2 linked regions of the Macaca mulatta genome follow. The protein of the gene in region 1 purifies or fractionates together with the protein of each later gene. This does not show direct contact. Links are inferred from orthologs where the notes say so. Each region holds a gene or a part of one and is shown on either strand. Other genes may lie near its edges.

The links.
Region 2: the proteins of CCT3 (region 1) and DCAF7 purify together in Homo sapiens (affinity purification with mass spectrometry; 4 studies listed by BioGRID and IntAct, counting the BioPlex papers as one, with this or other methods). This does not show direct contact. The link is inferred for Macaca mulatta from reciprocal best matches to the Homo sapiens genes CCT3 and DCAF7.

What each region holds. Positions count from the first base shown.
Region 1 is NC_133406.1:110,605,934-110,609,745, forward strand, and holds part of CCT3 (T-complex protein 1 subunit gamma), read left to right. Parts: intron 1-1,653; coding exon 1,654-1,803; intron 1,804-2,796; coding exon 2,797-2,929; intron 2,930-3,094; coding exon 3,095-3,176; intron 3,177-3,812. UniProt on the Homo sapiens protein: Component of the chaperonin-containing T-complex (TRiC), a molecular chaperone complex that assists the folding of actin, tubulin and other proteins upon ATP hydrolysis.
Region 2 is NC_133421.1:73,348,612-73,352,991, forward strand, and holds the start of DCAF7 (DDB1- and CUL4-associated factor 7), read left to right. Parts: upstream 1-1,446; 5' UTR 1,447-1,679; coding exon 1,680-1,817; intron 1,818-4,380. UniProt on the Homo sapiens protein: Involved in craniofacial development. Acts upstream of the EDN1 pathway and is required for formation of the upper jaw equivalent, the palatoquadrate. The activity required for EDN1 pathway function differs between the first and second arches.

The sequences.
Region 1 (3,812 bases):
CACTGCAGCCTCAAACTCCTGGCCTCAAGCAAATCCACTGATTTTCTAGGACTACAGGCACATGCCACTGTGCCCAGCTATTTTTTTTTTTCTTTTTGTGGAGATGAGGGTCTCATGTTGCCCAGGCTGGTCTTGAACTCCTGGCCTCAGGTGATCCTCCCACCTCAGGCTCCCAAAGTGCTGGGATTACAGGCATAAGCCATCGCACCCTACTTGAATGAAATAGTTTTAAATCAGGGCTAGGTATGTTTGTTTGTTTGATATGGAGTCTTGCTCTGTCGCCCAGAGGCTAGAATGCAGTGGTGCAATCTCAGCTCACTGTAGCCTCCACCTCCCAGGTTCAAGTTATTCTCCTGCCTCAGCCTTTAAAATAGCTGGGATTACAGATGCCCGCCACCACACCCAGCTAATTTCTTTCTGTATTTTAAGCAGAGACGGGGTTTCACTGTGTTAGCCAGGATGGTCTTGAACTCCTGACCTGAGGTGATCCGCCCATGTTGGCCTCTCAAAGTGCTGGGATTACAGGGTGACCCACTGCACCTGGCCAGAACAAGGTACCTTTAATTAGAACTGGGAAGAATTGGCCGGGCGCGGTGGCTCACGCCTGTAATCCCAGCACTTTGGGAGACTGAGGTGGGTGGATCATGCGGTTAGGAGATCGAGACCATCCTGGCTAACACAGTGAAACCCCATCTCTACTAAAAAAAAAAAAAAAATACAAAAAATCAGCCAGACGTGGTAGTGGGAGCCTGTAGTCCCAGCTACTCTGGAGGCTGAGGCAGGAGAATGGCGTGAACCTAGGAGGCGGAGCTTGCAGTGAGCTGAGATTGCGCCACTGCACTCTAGCCTGGGCAACAGAGCAAGACTCTGTCTCAAAAAAAAAAAAAAAAACGGGAAAGAACTATACTTGCTGCCTGGAAACAAAAACCTAAAGAGGCTACCATCCTGAAATAATTTTGTTGTTACCTTCACTGCTATCCCTACACAAGGTTTATAAGGACAAGGGACAGGCTTATTGGTGTCTCCATGTTTGTGTATTTGCATACATCAGTCATTTGATCAGGATATAAGCTTAACAAGGGCTCTATTATATAGTACTATTATAATGGTAAGCCCCAGAAAGCTTTCTCTCCTCTACTAAGTTTCATTAAGATCAAAAAGTTTAGTAGTATAGCTTGTGGCCAGTAGATGGAGCCCCAAGCCTAAAATTCTCTGGCAGCTTTTTTTTTTTTTTTTTTTTAATTGGAGAGACCTAAGCCCTTATTTATTTAAATAGCAATTGGGTCTCAATGTGTTGCCCAGGCTGGTCTCGAACTCCCAGCCTCGAGGGATCCTCCTGCCTGAGCCTCTTGAGTAGCTGGGATTTTAGGTGTGAGCCATTGTGCCTGACTCATAAGCCCCTCTAAGTCTTTTGTCAAGTCATTGAATTTCTGTGGGTCTCAGCTGACCTTCAAGTTGAGTGTCATGGTCTAAAATTGGTGTATTTCCTAGTGGGGAAAAAACGTGATTCCAACCATATTTTTGAACTTCATCAAAGAAAGGAACTTTAGAAACCTGAAACAGTGGCTATTTGGGAAAGATGAACATCTGGGAAGGAAATTAAGAAATTGTCTCTTGATTGTGGATTATAAAGTGCAGTTGTCTTTTGTTCAGATACCTGGGGGCATCATTGAAGACTCCTGTGTCTTGCGTGGAGTCATGATTAACAAGGATGTGACCCATCCACGCATGCGGCGCTATATCAAGAACCCTCGCATTGTGCTTTTGGATTCTTCTCTGGAATACAAGAAAGGAGAAAGCCAGGTAAGGTTCTTGGCCTTGTTCCTTAAAGTAGATGCAAGAATCTGACTACAAATATGAACAACAGAAATAAAAGGTATGTTTACTGCATGCCTTCTGGGTGCATAGTGTACACTGACTCTTAGAACAGTCCTTTAGTTGGTATTGATTCCATTTTATAGATGAGGGATCTGAAGCTCAGACAAGTTAGGTTAATTGCTCAAGGAATACAGCTGGTATTGGCCAAAATCAAGATTTGAACCTGGTCATGTTTGGCTTGTTTTATACTATCATGCGACCTTTCCTAATGTACCAGGGGAACATAAGGTAGGAGTTAATTCAGCTTTGAAGTACTAAAGGAGAATTTCAGCTGGATGCAGTGGCTCACACTTATAATCCTAGCACTTTGGGAGGCTAAGGTGGGTGGATGGCTTGAGCCCAAGAGTTCAAGACCAGCCTAGGCAACATGGCGAATACTGTCTTTATTTAAAAAAATTAACTGGGCGTGGTGGCACATGCCTGTAGTCCCCACCACTAAGGAGGCTGAAGCAAGAGGATTCTTGAACCCAGAAGGTCAAGGGTGCAGGGAGCTGTTATCACACCACTGAACTCCAGCCTGAGCAACAGTAAGACCTGTCTCAAAAAAAAAAAAAAAAAAATCTAGGGTGCAGGAGGCTCACAAGGCTCCATCACATTTGGAAAGAACAAGAATCAGTTAGTGGGAAGAATTAAGGCCTGGAATTTTCATGCACATTGCCAGGACAGATGTAGGATTGGACTGGGTGGTCAGAGTAGAAAGGCCAGACTCAACACTAATTGCTGTGTGACTTTCAGTTCTGGTTGTTTTATAATGATATAACTAGAGCTAAATTGGCTTACAGAGGTATTGAGGTCATGGCTTTAACATAATTCTGAGTCTGAGATACGTGGGAGACGTGGGTGGAGGGAGTATAGTAGGACCCTTAGAGCTTCACCAGTCCAGGGATTTTAAAATCGTGTCTTTCCTTTACCACATAGACTGACATTGAGATTACACGAGAGGAAGACTTCACCCGAATTCTCCAAATGGAAGAAGAGTACATCCAGCAGCTCTGTGAGGACATTATCCAACTGAAACCCGATGTGGTCATCACCGAAAAGGGCATCTCAGGTGGGACTTGTTAATTTTTCCAGCCTACCTTTGAGGTAGATGAGGGTGGGTGATTTGTTTTTTCCCCTCATGTTTGGCAGAGGCGTAATAGCATGATGGTTAGAGTACTTTGATTATAAAACCAGTTCAGAACCCAGTTTGACATCTGTACTCTTGGATTTGTAGATTTAGCTCAGCACTACCTCATGCGGGCCAATATCACAGCCATCCGCAGAGTCCGGAAGACAGACAATAATCGCATCGCTAGGTGAGTAGGCCAGGTAAAAATAAGACTTTTCTTCCCGTGTGTTTCCTTTTTGTAGTTGTATAACATAGTCATCATTACCTGAAAAGGTTTAATAAAGGATACAGTAACAGGTGGAAATAACCTTGGCTTAGCTGCCTGCCCTCTTCAGAAGTCCTCTAGTCCAATGGTTATTTACTGCATGAGTCTCATCTGTGCTGCCCCTAACCATTAGTGAGCAGCTCGTGCTTAGACATCTGTAATTGCTACCTTGGTGGGTGTCCATTACATTTCTAAATAACTGCCTATCAAAGAGGTTTTTTTTTAATGTCATTATGATGATTTTTGAATGAACATTTCCAGAATAGCCTGTTTTAAGTGGCCTGGATTATAGCAGAACCATCAGTTTCCTCAACTACATCCTTAGCTGCTGTTTATGCAACTCTAGATTGCATTCACTACTTTTGCACTGATGTCTGTGCTCAGAGACCATTCTTTTTAATAGACGAGGTCTTGCTGTATTAGCTAGGCCTGTCTCAAACTCCTGGGCTCAAACAGTCATCCTGTTATCAGCCTTCCCAGTACCTGGAACTATTGGCATGCACCACCATGCCCAGCAAAGTTCATTCGTTTTTAATACTAATTTATTAAAAAGCTGAC
Region 2 (4,380 bases), on another chromosome or scaffold:
GATGTGGTGGCTCACGCCTATAATCCCAACACTTTGGGAGGCCAAGGCTGGCAGATCATTTGAGGTCAGGAGTTCGACACCAGCATGGTCAACATGGTGAAACCCTGTCTCTACTAAAAATACAAAAATTAGCTGGCCGTGGTGGTACACCCCTGTAATCCCAGCTACTCGGGAGGCTGAGGCAAGAGAATCACTTAAACCTGGGAGATGGAAAAATCATTTTCACTAAAAATTATATTTAGCGCCCAGAATGGTGGCTCAAGCCTGTAATCCCGGAACTTCTGGATGCTGATGTGGGAGGGTCGCTTGAGCCTAAGTTCGAGATCAGCCTGGGCAACATGGAGAGATCTCATCTCTACAAATAATTTAAAAATAGCTAGGTGTGGTGGCAAAAGTCTGTTGTTCCAGCTGCTCTGGAGGCTAAAGTGGAATCGTTTGAGCCTAGGCAGTCGAGGCTACAGTGAGCCCTTATCACACCAGTGCACTCCAGCCTGGGTGACAGGGCAAGACCCTGTCTTTAAAAAAAAAAAAAAAAAACTTTAATGTTATAATCCAACAATTCAATACAAACCTCCTTCAATTTTGATGAAAGCTAAGAATTGGAAACCATTTATATAAAGGTGTCACTTGGTCTCTGGCCCTTCTCCCTTTCAAACTCACAGGCACAGATACTTTTGGGGCTGGATTAGCATTTGCGTTGGGATGCACGGCGGGGAAGGTACAGGATGGGAACCGACAAAAACAGAGCCAAGCTGGTCAGGTCGGTGTCTACCCCAGAATTCGGGGACATTTCTAGATCCTGCAGGAAAGCGCGGGAGGACCTGACTCAAGCTGGCCTGGCCCTGAGCGCATCTGCGCCCCTGAAGCCTGGCCCTGAGGCCCGAAGACAGCAGCTTTCGGGTTAAAGGGGCCTTGGGAAGAGAAGGGGCAGGAAGGTGGTACCCGTTGCGCATAGGCCAGGCTGCCAGGCCGCGGGGCTCGGTCCCGCGAAAGTAGTAGGTCTTCCGCTAAAGCAGAATTGTACTTTTACTCGACAGCATGGAAAGGCCGCTCAGAACAGCAGCAGCAGAGGAGAAGTCAGCGCAGGTCACAGACAGTTTCACGCTCAGAGACTTGGCCTAGAACTTGGAGGCCCGCTACTCCAGCACGCTCGCCTCCCGGCCACCCACGCCCCCACCACCCGCACTGCGCCGTTATCTGCCTGACTGACATCTTGGTCAGCCAATGATCTTTGGGGCTGCCAAAGCTCCTGCCTCCGAGAGTTGGGCGGGGCGAGTAGTTGCAATGACAAACATTTAACCCAATAACGAGGAGATGTCACACGCTACGGCCGCAATAACCAATGAGAAGAAAGAATCCTTTCGAAAGGACGTGTCAGGCAACCAACGGCCGGTGGCGCTGCAGGGGTCCCGTGGCTTCCGTTCCGAGAGGGCGGGGCGGCGTCCCGAAACGGAAGGTGGTTGTCGTCGGTGCCCAAGCTGGTTTGAAACTAGGGGTCGGGTTCGGTCGTTGTCGTTGTTTGTCGCCGCATCCCCGCTTCCGGGGTAGGCCGTTCCTGCCCGCCCCCGCCCCTCCTCCCTTCGGACCCATAGATCTCAGGCCCGGCTCCCCGCCCGACTCGCACCCCGCCCGCCGCAGCCCACTGTTGACCCGGCCCGTACTGCGGCCCCGCCGCCACCATGTCCCTGCACGGCAAACGGAAGGAGATCTACAAGTATGAAGCGCCCTGGACGGTCTACGCGATGAACTGGAGTGTGCGGCCCGATAAGCGCTTTCGCTTGGCGCTGGGCAGCTTCGTGGAGGAGTACAACAACAAGGTGGGCCAGGCAGGGCCTCGGAACCCAGCTGGCGGGGAGCGGGCCCCGGGAGCGCCCTTTCCGGGCCGGAGCCCAGGCCCCAGAACCCTCCTGCGGACTCGCCTTAGGGCCATGGAGCGGTTCCAATGTCTGGCCCTGTGCTGAAGGTTTCGTACTCGTTGTCTGTCTCATTTAATCCCGGCAGCATTCTTGTGTAGTCGGCAGTGTAGTGGGGAAACTGAGTCACGGTTTTGTGACTTGCCTGGGTCAGGCAGCTATTTCGTGGTGGAAACAGGTCTTAAAACCGGGTTTACGCCCCAAAGATACTCCATTTATTCCTCCCGTGCTCTCCACTCCTGCCGCATTTTTTTCGTTGGTGGGCGGGGAAGGGAAGAGGGAGTGGTAGTTGTGAAGGAAAATGCAGACGCTTCTATTCGCGGTCGTGCACTCTTGGCCACACTAGATTTCTATTAAGACGATCTGTTGTACAAGCTTCCCCGCCCCCTACTCCCACACCCCGGGTGTGGATCCTAGCCCTTCTGCCAGAATTACTGTTGCTCTTGCTTCCTGATAACCATTCTCTCTAAAGCAATCTCTTTGGAAATCTTGGCCTGTGGCATGATCCCGCGGTTGTTTCCTGAACACAGGATGACAGGGCCTTATCTTTTGGCTTGTTTCATGCTAGTACAGTTGTGTGACCTTTAGTAGTAGATCTTGCTGGACATTCATCAATTTGAGAATCCTTTATAGAAGCACGGTGTCGTAGGGGAGCTTTTAAACTGGCATTGCAACATAAACTCATCTTTGAAAGCTGAATAAGTCAGTTGGAAGCATTTTCTTTGCTTTCTTCCTTTTACTCAATTAAAGTTGAATGATAGCGATCAGAGCAACTGAAAGCTGTGGCTAGTGATATTTAAAGCCACTACTGCCTTATGCCATGAGCATCAGATTTAAGAAGAGTAAAACTGGCTGGGCGCGGTGGTTCACGCCTGTAATCCCAGCACTTTGGGAGGCCGAGGCAGGCAGATTACCTGAGCTCAGGAGTTTGCGACCAGGCTGGGTAACAAGATGAAACGCTGTCTACTAAAATACAAAAAAAAAAAAAAAAAGAAGAAGAAGAAGAAAACTGTTCAGTGACAAGGCTCATGCAGGGGGGAAAAAGCCAGGTGGTCTAGGAGTGGGTCCTGTCTGGTTATTGACTAGCTGTGAGGTGTTGCACAGGCCTGTTTTATTATCTGTGACCCACAGTTTGCTGTAGGGAAGGGGTTCTGGTTTACATGTGAGGGTCTTGTAAAAAAGAAATTTGAATATTTTACAGTTTGTTTACAGTTTTTCAGGAGCACGTTTCTCTAGAGTAGGTCTTCTTTGGAGTCCTCTTTGAGAAGCTGATGAAAGCGATGGATTTTCATTGTCCAGACATTACACATACGTGAACATATTTACAAACAAATCCAAGCAATATGCACTGATCTTTAAGTTCACCCATTTCCCGGGCGAAATAGAGCTGTATTTCCTTTCCTCTGATGCTTCTTTCTTCCTTGTGGCCCATTGTGGACAGCTGAACTGGGAATGGGATTCAAGCTTCTGATGTGGACACCGTGTTAGTAAAATTAAGACCACTAGAACTATTGTTTAAGGATACACGTGGAAAATAAAAAAGTATGTCTTTCAAAGAGCTTAAGCTTAATTTTTCACACAAATTAATGTTTTTTTCCTGTGTGTTTTTCCAGTGTCACGGGGTAAACAATAGTTACTCCTATTCTCCAGAGAGGAGAAACTGAGCCACAGTTAGGCTGCTGGTAGAATCAATGGAGTAGTCAAACTGCTGTTGCAGGAACTCTACCCCAGTTTGTCCTTTCTTTTAGCAACTCTCTGGAGCTTCCTCTTTGTTCCAGGCACACAGGTAGCATGGCTTAGCAGCGAAATGCAAACTAATAACCCCACTATCAACAGCGTAAGCAGTTAGCTATATCTTAACTCACATGATGTAGGCAATGTGCTGTCTTAAAATCATTTTTGTGCCTCCACCTGTCAGTAGGTCAGGGTTCTTAAATTCTGTGTGCTATGATCATCTGATACCAATAGACCCCTTCTCATAGTTATGTTTTCAAATGCATAGAACACGTAGAATTACAAAAGAAACCACTTACGTTGCACTACAGATATAAACATGTTTTTAGAAGTGGTGATGTAGTCATATGTACTTTTAATAAATTAACATATTGATTTACACCATCCAGTGTAATTATTAATGTAATTTTGAAGTGGTGACAAGGGTAAACAGCATTTCAAGATGCTTAACTGCACCGTGGTGGGAAAAAATATTTCTCTTGCTGGTGAAGTCACAGATACTTATGCCACTGTGAGCACCTAACCCATTTGTAATTGAAGGAAATAAAACATATTTAGCTAGAGGTGAATGGAAATATGGGCGTGATTTTCCAATTCAAGTTCACAGACCCCAAGTTAAGAAACCCTGCGAGACAGGATTATGTCTAGTGGTTGGTGAGCAGCAAATCCTGCCTTAAAGCAATGATTCTGAAGCTAAGTTTGTGAGAAGCCCTGCCAAAGACGTGGTCGACTT